Linked DNA regions of Lonchura striata. The protein of the gene in region 1 purifies or fractionates together with the protein of each later gene. This does not show direct contact. Links are inferred from orthologs where the notes say so. Each region holds a gene or a part of one and is shown on either strand. Other genes may lie near its edges. The genes, in order: DERL1 and TMEM129.

The links.
Region 2: the proteins of DERL1 (region 1) and TMEM129 purify together in Homo sapiens (affinity purification with western blotting; 3 studies listed by BioGRID). This does not show direct contact. The link is inferred for Lonchura striata from reciprocal best matches to the Homo sapiens genes DERL1 and TMEM129.

Annotation. Positions count from the first base shown.
Region 1 is NC_134603.1:12,682,464-12,689,932, forward strand, and holds the start of DERL1 (derlin-1), read left to right. Parts: upstream 1-3,241; 5' UTR 3,242-3,433; coding exon 3,434-3,586; intron 3,587-5,512; coding exon 5,513-5,624; intron 5,625-7,469. Other genes in the region: TBC1D31 (TBC1 domain family member 31), read right to left, coding at 257-403, 2,686-2,762. UniProt on the Homo sapiens protein: Functional component of endoplasmic reticulum-associated degradation (ERAD) for misfolded lumenal proteins. Forms homotetramers which encircle a large channel traversing the endoplasmic reticulum (ER) membrane.
Region 2 is NC_134606.1:7,704,068-7,711,536, forward strand, and holds the start of TMEM129 (E3 ubiquitin-protein ligase TM129), read right to left. Parts: upstream 4,468-7,469; 5' UTR 4,278-4,467; coding exon 4,073-4,277; intron 2,955-4,072; coding exon 2,480-2,954; intron 224-2,479; coding exon 64-223; intron 1-63.

The DNA.
Region 1 (7,469 bases):
CCTTAAGTTCTAAGGCACCACTGCTCTTTTTACAGTTGCAAGCCTCTGATCTTTTTGAGCAGCTAAACTAATGAAATAACATATAGGGAGCCTACATGAGACAGTGGGTTGAGGTTTCGGCCCTGAGCAAACTATTACCTATTTCAAAATATTTAGTTAAAACCTGACCCATGGGAACCTGTTCAGGCAAGTTCCACACACCTGAATGGTACAGATGTCTCAGACAATTAAAAAGTCATAATAGAAATATTCTTACCTGTTCCCATTCAAGTCAAAAACATATATATTCCCTTGGCGGTCTCCAGCGAGGAGAGAATCCCCAGAACTGTCAAAAACCACATTCAGAAAATGTATTGTCTTTGAATGGTACCCCTGGACACTGTGAATTATGTTCACTATAACTCTGTAAAGAAAAACAACCAGCAAAACAACCATGCTTAGAATAATTTTATTACCATTTATATCTGCAAGACATAGAAACATTTTAATCCTATCTTAGGATTTTACAATTCCGATTTTCCATGTTCTATGAAAGATCTCCCATGAAACCCATGTGTTTCTATATGAAAAGTATGCTACAAAGGAAGTAATTCACTGGGCTGGAAGGTGGGTAGGAGATATGTAAAGCAGATGGGGGAAGTTCACCATTCACAATCCTTTCACGTGGTTTCTGATTGCCCAATTTCCATCATTAATGAATAACACTGATGTATCTGAAAGCCCAATTCAACCCTCAGGAAGGAACCTGGCTCATCATTACCACTGCAAAGAAACGTTCTAGAAAACTGAGAAGCTGTGCAGTACTGTAAGAAACCAGTCTGTTTAGATATGGGGAAAATCAGTTTTAATATCACTTCTTTTCACAGTCTTAGAAAGTATTTGGATTGTTTAGCCTGGAAAAGAGAAGGCTCTGAGGTGACCTAATTGTGGCCTTCCAGTACCTGAAAGGAGCCTACAAGAAAGGTGGAGACTTTTTACAAAGGCCTGGAATGGCATGACAAGGATGAATGGCTTCAAACTGCAAGAGAGTAGGTTTACATTTTACATTAGACATTAGGAAAAAATTGTTTACTGTGAGGGTGAGATAATCAGGCTCCCTAGAGAAGTTCTGGATACTCCATCCTTTGAAGTGCTCAAGGCCAGGCTGGATGGTGTTCTGAGCAGCCTGGTCCAGTGGAAGGTGTCCATGGCAGGGGGCTTGCAACTAGATGACCTTTGAGGCCCTTTCCACTCCAAACCATTCTACAATTCTATGAATAAAGCCTTTTTTATTACTATTCATCTGTGCTATTACAGAACAGAATTTTCTAGTTTTCCACTTCTATCCTTATAAGGTACTGTCCACACAAACAGAGCCAGATGCAGAAATGAGCTGTAAGAGGAAGGTTTTTCCAGGAAGCAGGACATCGAGATTTGGAAGATCTACTATTCCTGGATTTATTGCCTACCACTGAACAGCCCAATCATTTTGTATTATCACTTGGATGTGAATTCACAGTTAAACTAAACACCAAAAGTGTGCCAGATATTGGCAGGCTGATTAAAGACTGCAGAGCACTTGCAGAATGCTCTGACCATGGTTGCATGAGATGCTGATAGCTCTCTGAGGCACAGAATATGCTACTCAGAATGCTCTGACCATGGTTGCATGAGATGCTGATAGTTCTCTGAGACACATAACTATGGTGCAGACTAGAGATAAAACTAATTGTACCTCACTGTTAAGCCCATTGTTTTCTTCAACAAAAGGGCCATAAAAATGAAATCGGAAAGATAAAATATTTTAAAGTGTAATTGAAATCTAGTGATGTTTGTGTGGGATTATGACATTAAAGATCCTGACAAATTAGTATGACTTCTGCTTCTAAAACTACTCTGAAACACAAGTACTTATCCCTGCAGCTACAGCACCTCCCAAGACCTTCTCAACATCACTCTCTGCCTCTCAAAAGTTTCCCTGCACCTATACTAAGCCAGGAGAACAGAGTTAGGAGTTCACGGGGCCTCTGGGGACAGAGACCTCCAAAGCATCATTTGTGTCGCTGCTCTTCAGCTTAGACCAGGCAGTATTTACACAGCATACCACACTGCGATTAATCTCTTTGAATTCTCCATGGCATTTTATCCAATACGCCTAAACAACTAGGGTAAGTGTCCAGCCAAGCTGCGCAGCCTGAGCGCGGGGGTTTCACAGCCTCCTTGGGGACCTGCTCCGCCTTCAAGAGGGATCTCATTAATACATGGAAGTATCACAAAGGCGCTGCCAAGAGATCGGTGCCAGACTCTTTTCGGTGGTGCCCAGCGACAGGAGGAGGAGCAATGGCCTTAAACGAAAACACAAAAGTTTCACCTCAGCAGGAGGAAGAACTTCACGCTGAGGATGGCAGGGCACCAAAGAGGCTGCCCAGGGCGGTCGTGGAGTGTCCCTCTCTGGAGCCATTCCAAGCCCGCCTGGACGCGCTCCTATGGAAGCTGCTCTAGGTGACCCTGCCTTGGCAGATCTCCAGAGGCCCCATCCAACCGCAGTGATTCCGCCACTCCAGGGGAACGTGCTCCTTTCGTTATGTAACCGGGTACCCCGGGTGCCCCTTCCCCCGCCCGCAGAGGCTCGGGTGGGCCCGGGCCGGCCCTGCCCGCCCGCCCGCTCCTCTCGGGCAGCCGCTCCCCCCGGCCCGGCCCCGTTACCCCCGCGCTGCGGCCGCCGCCGCCCGGCGGGTCCAGATGGGCCCGCGCCGCCGCTCGCCCACATCGCAGCGCTCCATCCCCGCCCGGCGCCGCCGCTCCCGCGCTGCCAGCAGGGCTCCGCCCACGCTCCGCGCCGGGGGGGCGCCGCTCGCGTGGTACAGCCCGCTCCCGCTTCACCAATGGGGAAGAGCCGGAAGGGTGGCGAGTGCTCCCCCCCCAGACATCAGGGAATGGAACCGCTCCACCTGCGGCCTCGCGGGCTGCTGGGAGTTGTAGTTTCCCTCGCGGGCGTCGCGCAGCGACCTGGGTGGGGACGGGAGAGCGGAGCGCGGCCAGCGCCGGGCAATGCAGTAAAAACGCCGCGTCCTCGCAGGCAAGTGCGTTTATAACGCAGTGCAATAGGTCACTCATAACATGGTTTTTCAGGCTGGCGCAGGACTTGTTCCCGGTTCCCTCCTGTTGCCCCCGCATTACAAGCGCCTTGCGGGGAAGGGAAGCCGGCTGACCCCACGGCCCGCCGCCCTCCAGCGCCGGCTCGCTCCCGCTCCGCCCCCGGGCGGGACCCCCGCTGCCGGGGCGGGGCCGGAAGCAGCGGCGGCGGCTCGGCCGAATTCGGTGGCGCCACGTCTGGCTCGGGGCCCCCTCCGTGAGCGGGCGGCAGGAGTGGCTGAGTCCTCGTCTCGCCTCTTCTTTTCTTCAGCGGCCGGTTCGTGGCGAAGCCTGGGCGGCGGCCGGGCGCGGCTGCGACATGTCGGACCTGGGGGACTGGTTCCGAAGCATCCCTCTGATCACGCGCTACTGGTTCGCCGGCTCCATCGCGGTGCCGCTCGTGGGCAAGCTGGGCCTCGTCAGCCCCGTCAACCTTTTCCTCTGGCCTGACGCCTTCATCCACCGCTTCCAGGTAAGGGCCGCACTACCGCTCCCGGCGTGCCCCGCGGCGCCCGCACAGTAGCTCACTATGACACACTTCGCGCGCAGCCTTCTGGGAGTTGTAGTGTACAGCCGCACTGCGGGGCCTCGCTGGGGCTACGCGCGGGGCCGGCCGCTGCCCCGGTTCCGCGGCCGCGCTGGAGGCACCGTGCACCGAGACAGCGGCCGGGGGTGAGCAGAGCTCCGCTGGCGAGAGTGGAGCCGCCGTCCCGCTCAGCCTGTACGGGGCCTGCGGGCAGAACACCGAGCAAATCCGGGCCCAGGCCCAAGGGCCGCCACCGCGGGGACGGGCTGCGCGTCCCTGCCAGGCTGGCAGAAGGAGGGAGGCTGCCCTGGCAGCGCTGTTGTTCGTCTTGTGCCTCATTCTGGTGTGGTTTTTCCTGCAGTTTTTGTGGGAGTTGTTCTGGTGGGCACTGGCTGTTTTACCTAGGAGCTCTGTGGCTGTGGCTGCAGGTGACTTGCCCAGCTCTGTGTCTTCGTGTGGCTGTGACTTTGGGAGCTGCAACTTCGGGCAAATCTCCCAGACTGCAGCTGGCCCGGGAGGTTTTTTGGCAGAGCTACAAGAGAGACATGGAGCTCCTGGGGTGGGTACAGTGCGGGGTAACAAAGGTGATCAAGGAACTGGAGCATCTCTGGTGAGGAATGGCTGAGGGAGCTGGGCCTGCTCAGCCGCGAGGAGAGAGGACTGAGAGGAGACCTCGGCAGTTTCTGTAAGTGTCAGAAGATGGACAAATGCAAATGGGCAAAATCTGATGCACGGGAAGTTGCACCTGACCTGGGTGGCCATGCACTGGAACAGACTGACCAGGGAGGCTGTGAAATCTCCCTTGCTGGAGTTATTCAAGAACTGTCTGAGTGCAATCCTGTGTCATGTGCTCAAGAATGTCTGCTTGAGCAGGGAGGTTGGCTCAGATCACTCACTGTGGTCCTTTTTAATGTGAGGTATTCTGTGATTCTGTAACAAAGTGCATTTACACATTCTGGTTTGGAATTTGAAAAAGCTTCTCTTAGGGTCTGACAACTTCTATGCTTAGATGTGGTCCATGTAAACTAATAACTGATGCCCTGAGGTGTCAGACATGCAGTGGTTTTCCTTGCACTGTGATATTACAGGTTTAGTGTTGGGGAGAGCACTCATTGGAGGAGCTCAAAACAAAAGAAGATAAAAGATTCCAATTTTTAGATTTCTGTTATCTCGTCTCATTATATCTTCACTGAAGAAAGAAAAAAAATTAAAGCCATGACTCTCTATGTATCTTGATTCATGTATTATTAGTAGCATAAATGACTGGTTTTTCCTCTAGTTCTGTTATTCCTTCTTGAACTGTGATGTTCAAGATCCTAATACCCAGTTTGGAAATGTTGCTGCTTTAAGAGCTCATTCATGAATGACCAGACATTTTCTGTCCTTGCTACGTGCTGCCATGCAGTTGGTTATGCCCAGTATTCATAGCTGGGAACTGTCCCAGAGAAGATCCCATATGCTCAGAGTAGCATGTGCTGTCTGGAATGGTACACTAAAGGCTGTGAATTCTTTGGCCTCTGTTCAGCAGAGAAGAATAGATTTTGTGTGGCTGTTTTTTTAACATGGTAGCATCCTTGCCAGTGAATCTTTTTTGCACTGCATTAAAGAGTCACTACTGCAAAGATGTGATGGAAAGCAGTTGTGTGATATTTCTGGTGTAGTCTTAATAGCTTTGCTTACCAAATTGAAAAAAAACACCACAACTAGAAAAGCTGCTGAAGCAGGACCAATCGATACTTGGGCTATTTTTAATCTTCTTCTTGATGTTTCAAGTTTTCATTCATTATCAAGTAATGAATGTAAATAAAAAGCCTGGGAACATGAGTTCTTTCTGCAGTTTGTAAATAAAGCTTTCTCTTTTGATCTTGACAGATCTGGCGGCCGATAACAGCAACCTTCTTCTTCCCAGTGGGACCTGGAACGGGATTTCTCTACTTGGTGAATTTGTATTTCTTGTATCAATATTCATCACGACTAGAAACAGGTATGTTGACCATTACATGCCCCTGGTGAAGTCTGCCTGGAGCTGATAAGAGATGGCTCATCTCTGTGCCAGCTTATATTAGTCAACGTGAAACTGCTCTGAAAACTGATTTTCTGTGGCTGGATCCTTCCCTTTGGCCATTTTGGATCTGAACTTGATACTTGTTTCAGTAGGAGGGCCTGGTGTTTTTAGTTGCTGGATTTAAGGAAGTGAGACAGATTAAAAGATGATGTTTACCTCTGTGGTTTTGTAGCTGATGTTTTTTATCAGAGAAGGATAATAGAGCATAATGTAATAATGGGCTTATCCATTGGGAGAAAATAACTTTCAGTTTTTTCTTGTTTTAATAGGGATGCTTATTTGTGTTATTCTGTTGTCTGTGTTGAATTGAGAGATACCTCCCTCAGAGAAGGTCTACCCCTCTGCCTAACAGATATGTGGAAAAGTTAAGGGACTAGGAGGATTTTCAGTTAAGGGGAAAAATTAAGTGAAGAAAAGGAGATCAGATAATAGATCATTTCTCTCAAACAGAGGGATTGTTGGTACAAGGTATCTTCAAAACTGGCTTCCTTTTGAGCTGCTCAGTTCGTTAAACCTAGACCAAAATTGGTTTAATTTACATAAATAATTAATATATTTACAAATCCAGACTCCTCTTGAAAGTCTTTGTGAACAAGAATTTCAGTATATTTCTAATGGAGTCTTAGAACTGATGGTGTAAAGGGGAATGCATTGGAAGGTGATGTTGGGAAGTCCCACAAGAGAGAAGAGATCCCTGCCACCCAGAGAGTATTGTGGAATCACATTTAAATCTTAAGAAGAGCGGTAAGGGAAAGCAGGAGTGGTGCCAGATTGTATTTGGTTATTTTCTTAGTGAAAGATAAATACTAGTTTAATGGTTAGAAATGGTTTCCTTTTGAGATTTTCTGCAGTAGTTTATGAGTACATGAGAGTGGTGGCAGTTCTGACTGGGCAAAGGTAGGTGTAATAAGCGTTCCTGGTTAATTATGCCGAATAAAAGACCTCGCTGCTTGTAGATATACTTACAAAATGCTCTAGTTGTCTGTGCTGTGGCACAAATTCCATGAAAGAGAGTAAATTTCTGCTGTACATCAGATCTGGATTTTGAAACTGGGAAGTCATCTGTATTGTTTGAACCAATGCATTTCTTTTATATTACAGTCATTTTTCTGGGTATAAAGGAAATCCTTGGTTAGGTTGGCCCTTTCTCTGAAATAGGCCTGAATCCTTCTGTAGTTGGAAGGTTTATAAGTTGTTGATACTGTTTACATGTGGAAGTCTGCGTTGGTCTGTGCCTCCTTTTGTCTGTGAAACTGAGAAAGTAGAACTTCTATTTTCAGCATTGTGCATGCTTTTTGAGCATACACTGCTGCTGTCTGCCACCTTCAAATTTAGCTGTCAGAAACATCTGTATGGTTTTGTGCTGTTTCCTAACAGGCTGACTTGTAACTTCCAAAGGAAAGGGAGATTGTTGTGTTTTTGTTTTGCTTTGGTTGGAGAAGAACATAACAAATATCAACAGAGTAAGCAGAATATGCAGAGCTCAGTCCCCAGCTGTATGACTGGTGAGATTATGGGTCTGCAGCTTTTCCCAGATGACTGGATTATACCCCGGCCACAGATCCATGGGGTAGAGCTCACTCCATACCTGTGCTGAGCTTTCTGGCAGTTTGTAGTCCAATTTCCTTAGATGTTTATTGAAAAGTCAACTTAAATGGTTTGTCTGATACTCTTGTTAGCAATCTCATAGATAATGAGAACAGAAAAAAATTAGAATAATAATAATAGCTTTGATTTCTTCCAGTTTTGGAAGGATTCCTGGGC
Region 2 (7,469 bases), on another chromosome or scaffold:
ATCACAGGCTCATCTATTTTGAAAGTACAATTGTTACAGTCTCACATGGATAGAAAGTTTCACCTGAGTGCTTGGAACATGGTATGTCTGGTTTATTTCCACCAGAGATGTAAAGGTTTCTAAAAATAAATCACTAAGGCTTTGATGGATCACAACATTAGCTGCATTGCTGATAGGAGCACGGAGCTTCTCCCGGAGCTCCCCATACTCTGTGGAGTTCAACCTGAAGAAGAGAAGATGGAGCAAAATGTTACCATGATTATCCACCCAAATACCTTGATAGTACCTTGCAGAGGTTAACTGAAGTGAATCCACAGAAAAGCTGGTACTTATTAGTCAGAATAAATACACGGAATTGCATTTGTTTTCTTGTTTTCTTCTGCTGTTTACTTACTGGTTTTGGCACAACTTAGTCAACAGAACACGCTGTCCTCATTCGTATCTGTGTAAGATTGCCAGCAGGGTATGTCAGAAATCAGCTAAAACATCATACAGAAATACAGGCTTTTGAAGTAATCAGTATGAACAAAAGCAATATAGGTATATAAACCATACATTAACTGCAAAGTGCTGTTTGCACCATTCTGTCACCTTTTTAATGCCTGTTTACTTAGACAATTTCTAAATTCTCAATTATAAACTCCTGAGGAATTTAGTTAGGAGCAATTATACCATGCAGCAGGCATCACAAGGTTATACAGTACTACAGAAGTAGTAGAGGAATGACAATCAGGTTCTGTGGTTTTACAATACAGTTTTAGACTGTATCATAACATAATCCCAGAAATTTCACAAAGGTCACAAACCACTGCTGATTCAAGGCTGCAGCAAGCTGTGTTTCACACCAGCTGCTTCTGTAAATTAAATTTAAGTGATATCCACAGCACTCAAGTGGCACCTGACACCTCACACAGATCCTACAGTGATACATCCCTGCTGTCATCCCTTTTGACCATAAGAGTTCTGAACTGTAGTGTCAGAACTCTCCAGCTCAATGCTTCCACTCATTAAACAGCTTTCATGAAGTCCCTGGAAGACTGCCCTAATTTTCCTACCACTGTCCGAGTTCCCAGAGCCCAGCACAATGCAAGGCTGGCTTAGCTCTAGCTCTCGGTGGTCTCCATTGTTTTTACTGCTACAGGATAATGTCATTGAACAGATGCTGTCCATACAAATCAGAAACATTTATATCCAGAGGAATAATTCACACTGAACATGCAGAGAAATGTGGCCCACCTGCACAAAAGCATTTTTCCTCCAGAAATATCTCACTGCATTTGATTCTGATTCTGGATATATACAATGATCCTGTATGATTCTGCTACATTCTAACAGAGATTAACTATCACAGACATCTTATTAGAGCAGCTTTTAAACACTGTTCTTGATGCTATTCTGCTTAGTCACAAAATATAGTTTGGGCTTAGGACTTTTTTTCCATAAAAGGAATTGCCAAACAAGTAATTATTTTCTCAGCTGGGGTGTACTCTGGCACTGAAGTGCTTGCAGAAGAAAATCATTAGTTGTTTAATACTAATTTGGTCATCACTGTCACAGGTCTATAAGAGTCTCTTTTCTTAGTATTGTCATGCTTACCTTAAGCAACCTCTTGTTCTGAGTTCTGTTCACCTGGATCTCTACCATAATCACCTCTTTGCTTTCCTTGTGCTTGTCTCACTTGCACACCTACCTGGATGCTTTTAATTACCTAATAAATGCTCCTGACAAACAAATGTACAGCAAAAAGACACCTTTTCAAATACAGTTTTAGGAGCACTAAGATGGCTTTTAACAACACAACAACAAAGACTTTAGAACCCTTCTACTCAGAGGTTTCTGCTGAACTTGTACTTTAGCCTGGTTACACAGAGACCAATGAGATAAACAGCATAGGCCTTTGCAAAATGAGCCCTAACAGTTCACAATTGTTATGATCTACTGCTATGAGAACACGTAAGTCAGAAAGGGACCAAAATTTCTTCCTTGTTTTAGGAGCAGTTGGCTTGCAGTCACTCAGGGAGAGCACTTCTGAGCAGCGATGATATTATGACCCTTAAGCACAAGTTAAAATCCAAAGTCGTGGACAAACAACAGACAGTTTTAGACAAATAGCTATTTCTCCTCACTCAAAATTTAGAAGACCAAAAATTCTACCTTTCATTCCTCTTCTCCATCTCTGACCTAATTTTATCCAGTTACTTCTTTCTGCATCCAGCACAATCCTCTCCCTAAGAATGGATCAAAGAGGCTAATCCCTTTGTTTATCTGTTGTGTATTCAGTGTTGTACGTGTATGAAGCTTTCCAAACAACCTTCCCTGCACTTCATGGCAGAACTGCACATACAGCAGCCCTGAACACCAGGCAGGGACCAGAAAGGAAGGGATGAGACCAGGGAATCTCCAGATTGGTCACAAAAATGCTCCCTCAGCACCATCAAACAGCACACATGTAACGTAACAGGTTTAGCAGTTGTTTTACCGGATATCGAATGCCTTGATGTAGGGATTAACGCTGGCAACTCGGATGGTGAGGAACTGCACAGGCACGTTGGAGTCTGGCGTGAGCTCGTGCTGTCTGGAGTCTGTCACTGTCAAGTGAATGTCCTGCTGCTGAGCAACATGTAAACAGTAGGTGGTCACTTTAATCACCCACGTGTCCGTAACAATCACCCTCGCTCCTGGCGCTCCGGTAGCGAATTTGTCAATTCTCCTAAATTCTGTGTTGATGGAAGAAGCTACTGCCCTCCAGCCTGACTGCGGGAGGGCGTGAACAGCGAGTGTCCGGGCTAGCGGATGATTATTCCAACCTTTCCGTGACCAGTAATATGCCAGGGCACTGGTGATTGCTGGGAGGAGAGCGGCGAAGAAGAAGAAAGTTTTCCACTCTTTTGAAGCCAGGTAGAAAAAACAAAGATGTTTTTCAGGTGCAGCAAAGCACATACCAAGGTAATAACCTGCAAGGAAAAAAAAACTTACTTTCAGAAAACAATTAAGTACGTGTAAAAGCAGATACCCCTGAATCATATGGTTATCTACCCAGTGAGCTCACCTCCAGAAGAGGTATTATTGCATTTCTGGATGACTTGAAATTCAAGCCTCTGGTCGCAAGCAAGCTGAATTAAATTCTTAGGTATCAATGATTTTTACCAGAATTATATACCTGAAGGAAAGTGATCTGAATTTGGTTGTTGAATAAAATTACCTGTGAGATGCTACTTAGTTTTAGGAGACTTATATGGCTAAAGGAAGCCAATTTGCATTCCTTTGTTAAATCACAGACTCACAGAAGATGATGCACTGGAAGGGACTCACAAGGATTATCAAGTCCAACACTCAGCCTTGCACAGGACACCCCAAGAGTAACACCATGTGCATGAGAGCATTGTCCAAACACTCCTTGAACGCCAACAGGCAGGTGTGACCAAGCCCCTGGGGAGCCTGTTCAGTGCCCAGCCACCCTCTGGGGGAAGAACCTTTTTCTAATATCCAATACAAACCACCCCTGACACTGCTTCAGGCCATTCCTTGGGTCTTGTCACTGTCACCACAGAGCAGAGATCAGTGTCTGTCCCTCCTCTTCCCCTCTCAGGAATTTGTAACTGCACTGAGGTCTCCCCTCAGTCTCCTCCAGGCTGAGCAGACCAGGTGCCCTCAGCCTCTCCTCACACACCTTCCCTCAAGATCCTTCACCATCTTTGTTGCTCTCCTCTGGAAACTCTCTGATAGTTTAATGTTTTTCTGACATTGTGGCCCCCAGAGCTGCCCCAGCACTGGAGGTGAGGCCGCCCAGCCCGAGCAGAGCGGGACAATCCCCTCCCTTGCCGGGCTGGCCATGCTGGGCCTGCTGCCCCAGGACAGGGATGTCCCTCCTGGCTGCCGGGGCACTGCTGGCTCAGCTTCCACTTTCCACTGGCCAGGAGCCCCAGGTCCCTTTCCCTGGCACTGCCCTCCAGCCCCTCACTCCCCAGTCCGTACTTAAACTGCAATTCCTTTGTGAGTGCGTGTGCTGCGGTGCAGCCCGCTGGTTACCGCGCTCGGGGTGCTCACTCCAGGGGAGCCGAGCGCGACTCACCGAGGGGCAGCAGGGAGTGCGCCAGCAGCGTGCCGGTGCTGCGCCGCAGGTGGTACTGCACGAAGGCCGCGTCCTCGCTGCCCAGCCAGGCGGACAGCAGGCTCTGCACCGTCAGCCCCGCCGAGCGCACCTCGTCGGGCGGGAACACGAAGCACACGGCGAACACCAGGTAGGCCAGCGTGAAGGTCACCGCGGGGCTCTCCATGCTGCGCCCCGTGGGGCGCCGGGGTCCCCGGGAGCGGTAGTTCCCGCCGCACCCCGGATGCTCCAGCGGGGAGCGGTGCTTCCCGCCGCTCCAGCGGTAGTTCCCCCGCAGCCCCGGATGCTCCAGCGGCAGTTCCCCGGCAGCCCCGGATGCTCCAGCGGCAGCTCCCCCCGCTCCAGCGGCAGCTCCCGCCGCACCCCCGGATGCGCGGCGCGGGCGCTGCCGGGCTGGCGGGGCCGCCCGGGCGGGACCCGCCTCCCCCTGCACGGATGGTCCCCGCCCCTCCATCCATCTCCTCCCTCCCCTCCGCCCCTCCGTCCATCTCCTCCCTCCCCTCCGCCCCTCCGCGCCTGCCCGGCCCCGAGCGCCGAGCCACGTTCCCTTTCCAGCCGGAGCCGGACCTCGCCCGCACCCCGTGCCCGCCCAGCCCGGCCGGGACGCGCAGCCCCTGCCCGCGGCCCCAGGCATTGTCCGCCCTCGAGGTCATGCTCCACAGGCCTGGCAGAAGCAACCGATTCCAGTTCTTTATGCATGGAAAAGACCTCTGTTGGATGAGGGCAGCGTCTTTCTGAAGCAGAGAATGGCCTGTTTTACTTAAGCGTCGGGAAAAGCTTCTCTTTGCTTCTCCTTGTCCTTGTGTATTTTATGTAATGCTTTCTAATATTTTCTAGTAAGACAAGGATGTAGCATCTCAAAATCCCCTAAAGGGAGGCATGTTTCAAGGTATCTTCGTACACCCCCAGACACAGTAGAGGGAGAGGCCTGACTGGAATATCTTGTTCCTATTGAAGTACAAACAATAGCTAATAGCCTGTTTCTTAGGGAACCTAGGAAAACTGCATGCAGCCTGTTATAACCCAAAACGTCCACATTTCTCTCTTTTAGAGAAGGGCGAGATTGTATAACTGGAAAAACATGGCAGAGAAAGCATTATGTGATGTTATATGCTACTAATGATGGCAAACCAAGTCAATAGTAGATACCACCCATGGAGTGTGACATCCTAGCGCTGCCAGATGACTGATGTGCAGCTGCTGTGGTGGAGATCGGGAATTAATGGTGGTTTAATGACTCTTGAGGATGGTTACATAAGTAAAATCATGCTTAGATTCTGTGCATCTTATTTCATTCTAAAAGACAACCTTGTTAACAACTTTATTAACAGTAATTTCATTGTTGTTGTCTGGTGACTCAACAGTAAGGACTGTTTAAATGTGCGTGAAGTCCAGTAATAAAAAAAGGCCTGTTGAAGCATCAAGTTTTCCTTCTGTGATTTCATGCAAAAGCATGAAGCAGAACAGCTGAGACTGTAGAATCATATAGAAACGTTTGGGTTGGAAGGTACCTTAAAGCTCATCTCATTCCAATAAGGGTGTCATGGGCAAGGACACCCTCCACTAGCCCAGGTTGCTGAGAGCCCCACGCTGCCGGGGGTGGGGCAGCCTCCGCAGCCGGGGCTGTGGTGGGGACACGGGGACATTGCGCAGCCGGGGCTGTGGTGGGGACGCGGGGACATTGCGCAGCCGGGGCAGTGCGTGGGGACACGGGGACATTGCGCAGCCGGGGCTGTGGTGGGGACACGGGGACATTGCGCCGGCGGGGCTGTGGTGGGGACACGGGGACATCGCGCAGCCGGGGCTGTGGTGGGGACACGGGGACATTGCGCCGCCGGGGCAGTGCGTGGGGACACGGGGACATCGCGCCGCCGGGGCTGTGGTGGGGACGCGGGGACATCGCGCAGCCGGGGCAGTTTGTCCGGGCGGAGCCGCGCCTGCACCGCCCGCTCTGCCGCGCGGGGGCTGACTGCGCGGGGCGCAACGGTCACGCGTGGCGCTGTCCCCGCCCCCTCCCGCAGGACGCTCTCCTGATTGGCGGGCGCGCCCCGAACGCCGGTCCCTCATTGGCGGGCCGGGGCTTCCGTTGGGTTTGAAATCGTGAGGCGGCGGCGCAGGGCTGCGGTTGGCGCTGGGGGCTGCGTGCGCCGTCTCAGCCGAGCGCCCCTCGGGCTCGTCCCGGGACCCGCCGCCAGGTACGGGGGGCTTTGGGGACCCCGCTGTAAGGCGGTGTGGGGCTGGGGTGTTCAGGTTCCCCTTTGTGGGATTGGGTGCGGCGGGAGGCTCGGTGAGCCCTTTGTGACCGGGGGAGGGGAGGTTCTGGCTCTGTAAGGCAGTGTGGGCCGGGAGGGGCTGTGCCGGGGCCCTTTGTGAGATTGGAGGCTCGGGGGCCGCTCTGCGAGCCTGGGGTTGGAGGAGGGTTTGGGCACCTTTCAGTGACCCTGGAATGCTGGGCCGGGGGAGCTCTGGGGTTGCTCTGTGAGTTTGGGGGAAGGCTTGGTGACCCCTCTGGACTTGGGGTGGTTTGAATTCGGTGGGGGGGCTGGCTGAGGGCCCCTCAGCGAGCTTGGGGTGCTTGGGGAGTTTAACGACCCCTTTGCGAAATTCACGCCTGGGATGCTGTGGGACCGGGGGTACCTCCTTGTCTAGGACTTCTGTGAGCCTCAGATTAAGATATTTGGGGGCTATTTCTGTCAATTTAAGGCTGAAGAGAAGGCAGGAACTTGGGGGCAATGGCAGGAGCTCAAGGGTGGAGCTCAGGTGCTCCACCCCACTGAAGTGGGGGTGAAGATCTTGGGAGCATCTCTGTGTTTTTAGGATGCTGTGGGGTTGATGGGGAGCCTGGGATGAGTCAGGCATAAAGAGGGACTGAGGCGGGGTTGGGTTTGGTTTTTTTGGGGTTTCTTTTGGAGTTTGTTTTCTTGACTGAAAACATTTCTTGGTGCCATGATGGGCAGGGATGAGCCTCCTGAAAAGCTTTCCTTGGCCTTGCTGCTTCTCCCCTGCAGTCAGGAGAAGGTGATTATGAGAGAGTTGCTTCTCAGGAAGTGTTTATTTGTTCTGAAGTGCGATATTTGCACTAAAATAAATATATATATATACATCAGTTAAGTATGTGTCAGTTTGTATGGAAGTATTCGCAGCACGTACCAATTTGCCTTGCCATCAGCGAGTGAGCTTTATCTCTTCTACTGGAGGGGTTCAGAAGGATAATTAAGTAGAAAAATTCCATCTCTGCCTTGCATGTTCAGTGGCTTTTCAGGCATTTGAGACCACATTGGTATTTTGGATATTGTGTCCTAGTATTTATTAAACAACAGGTTAGGTTGAAGCACTTTACAAATGATGGTTAACTGAG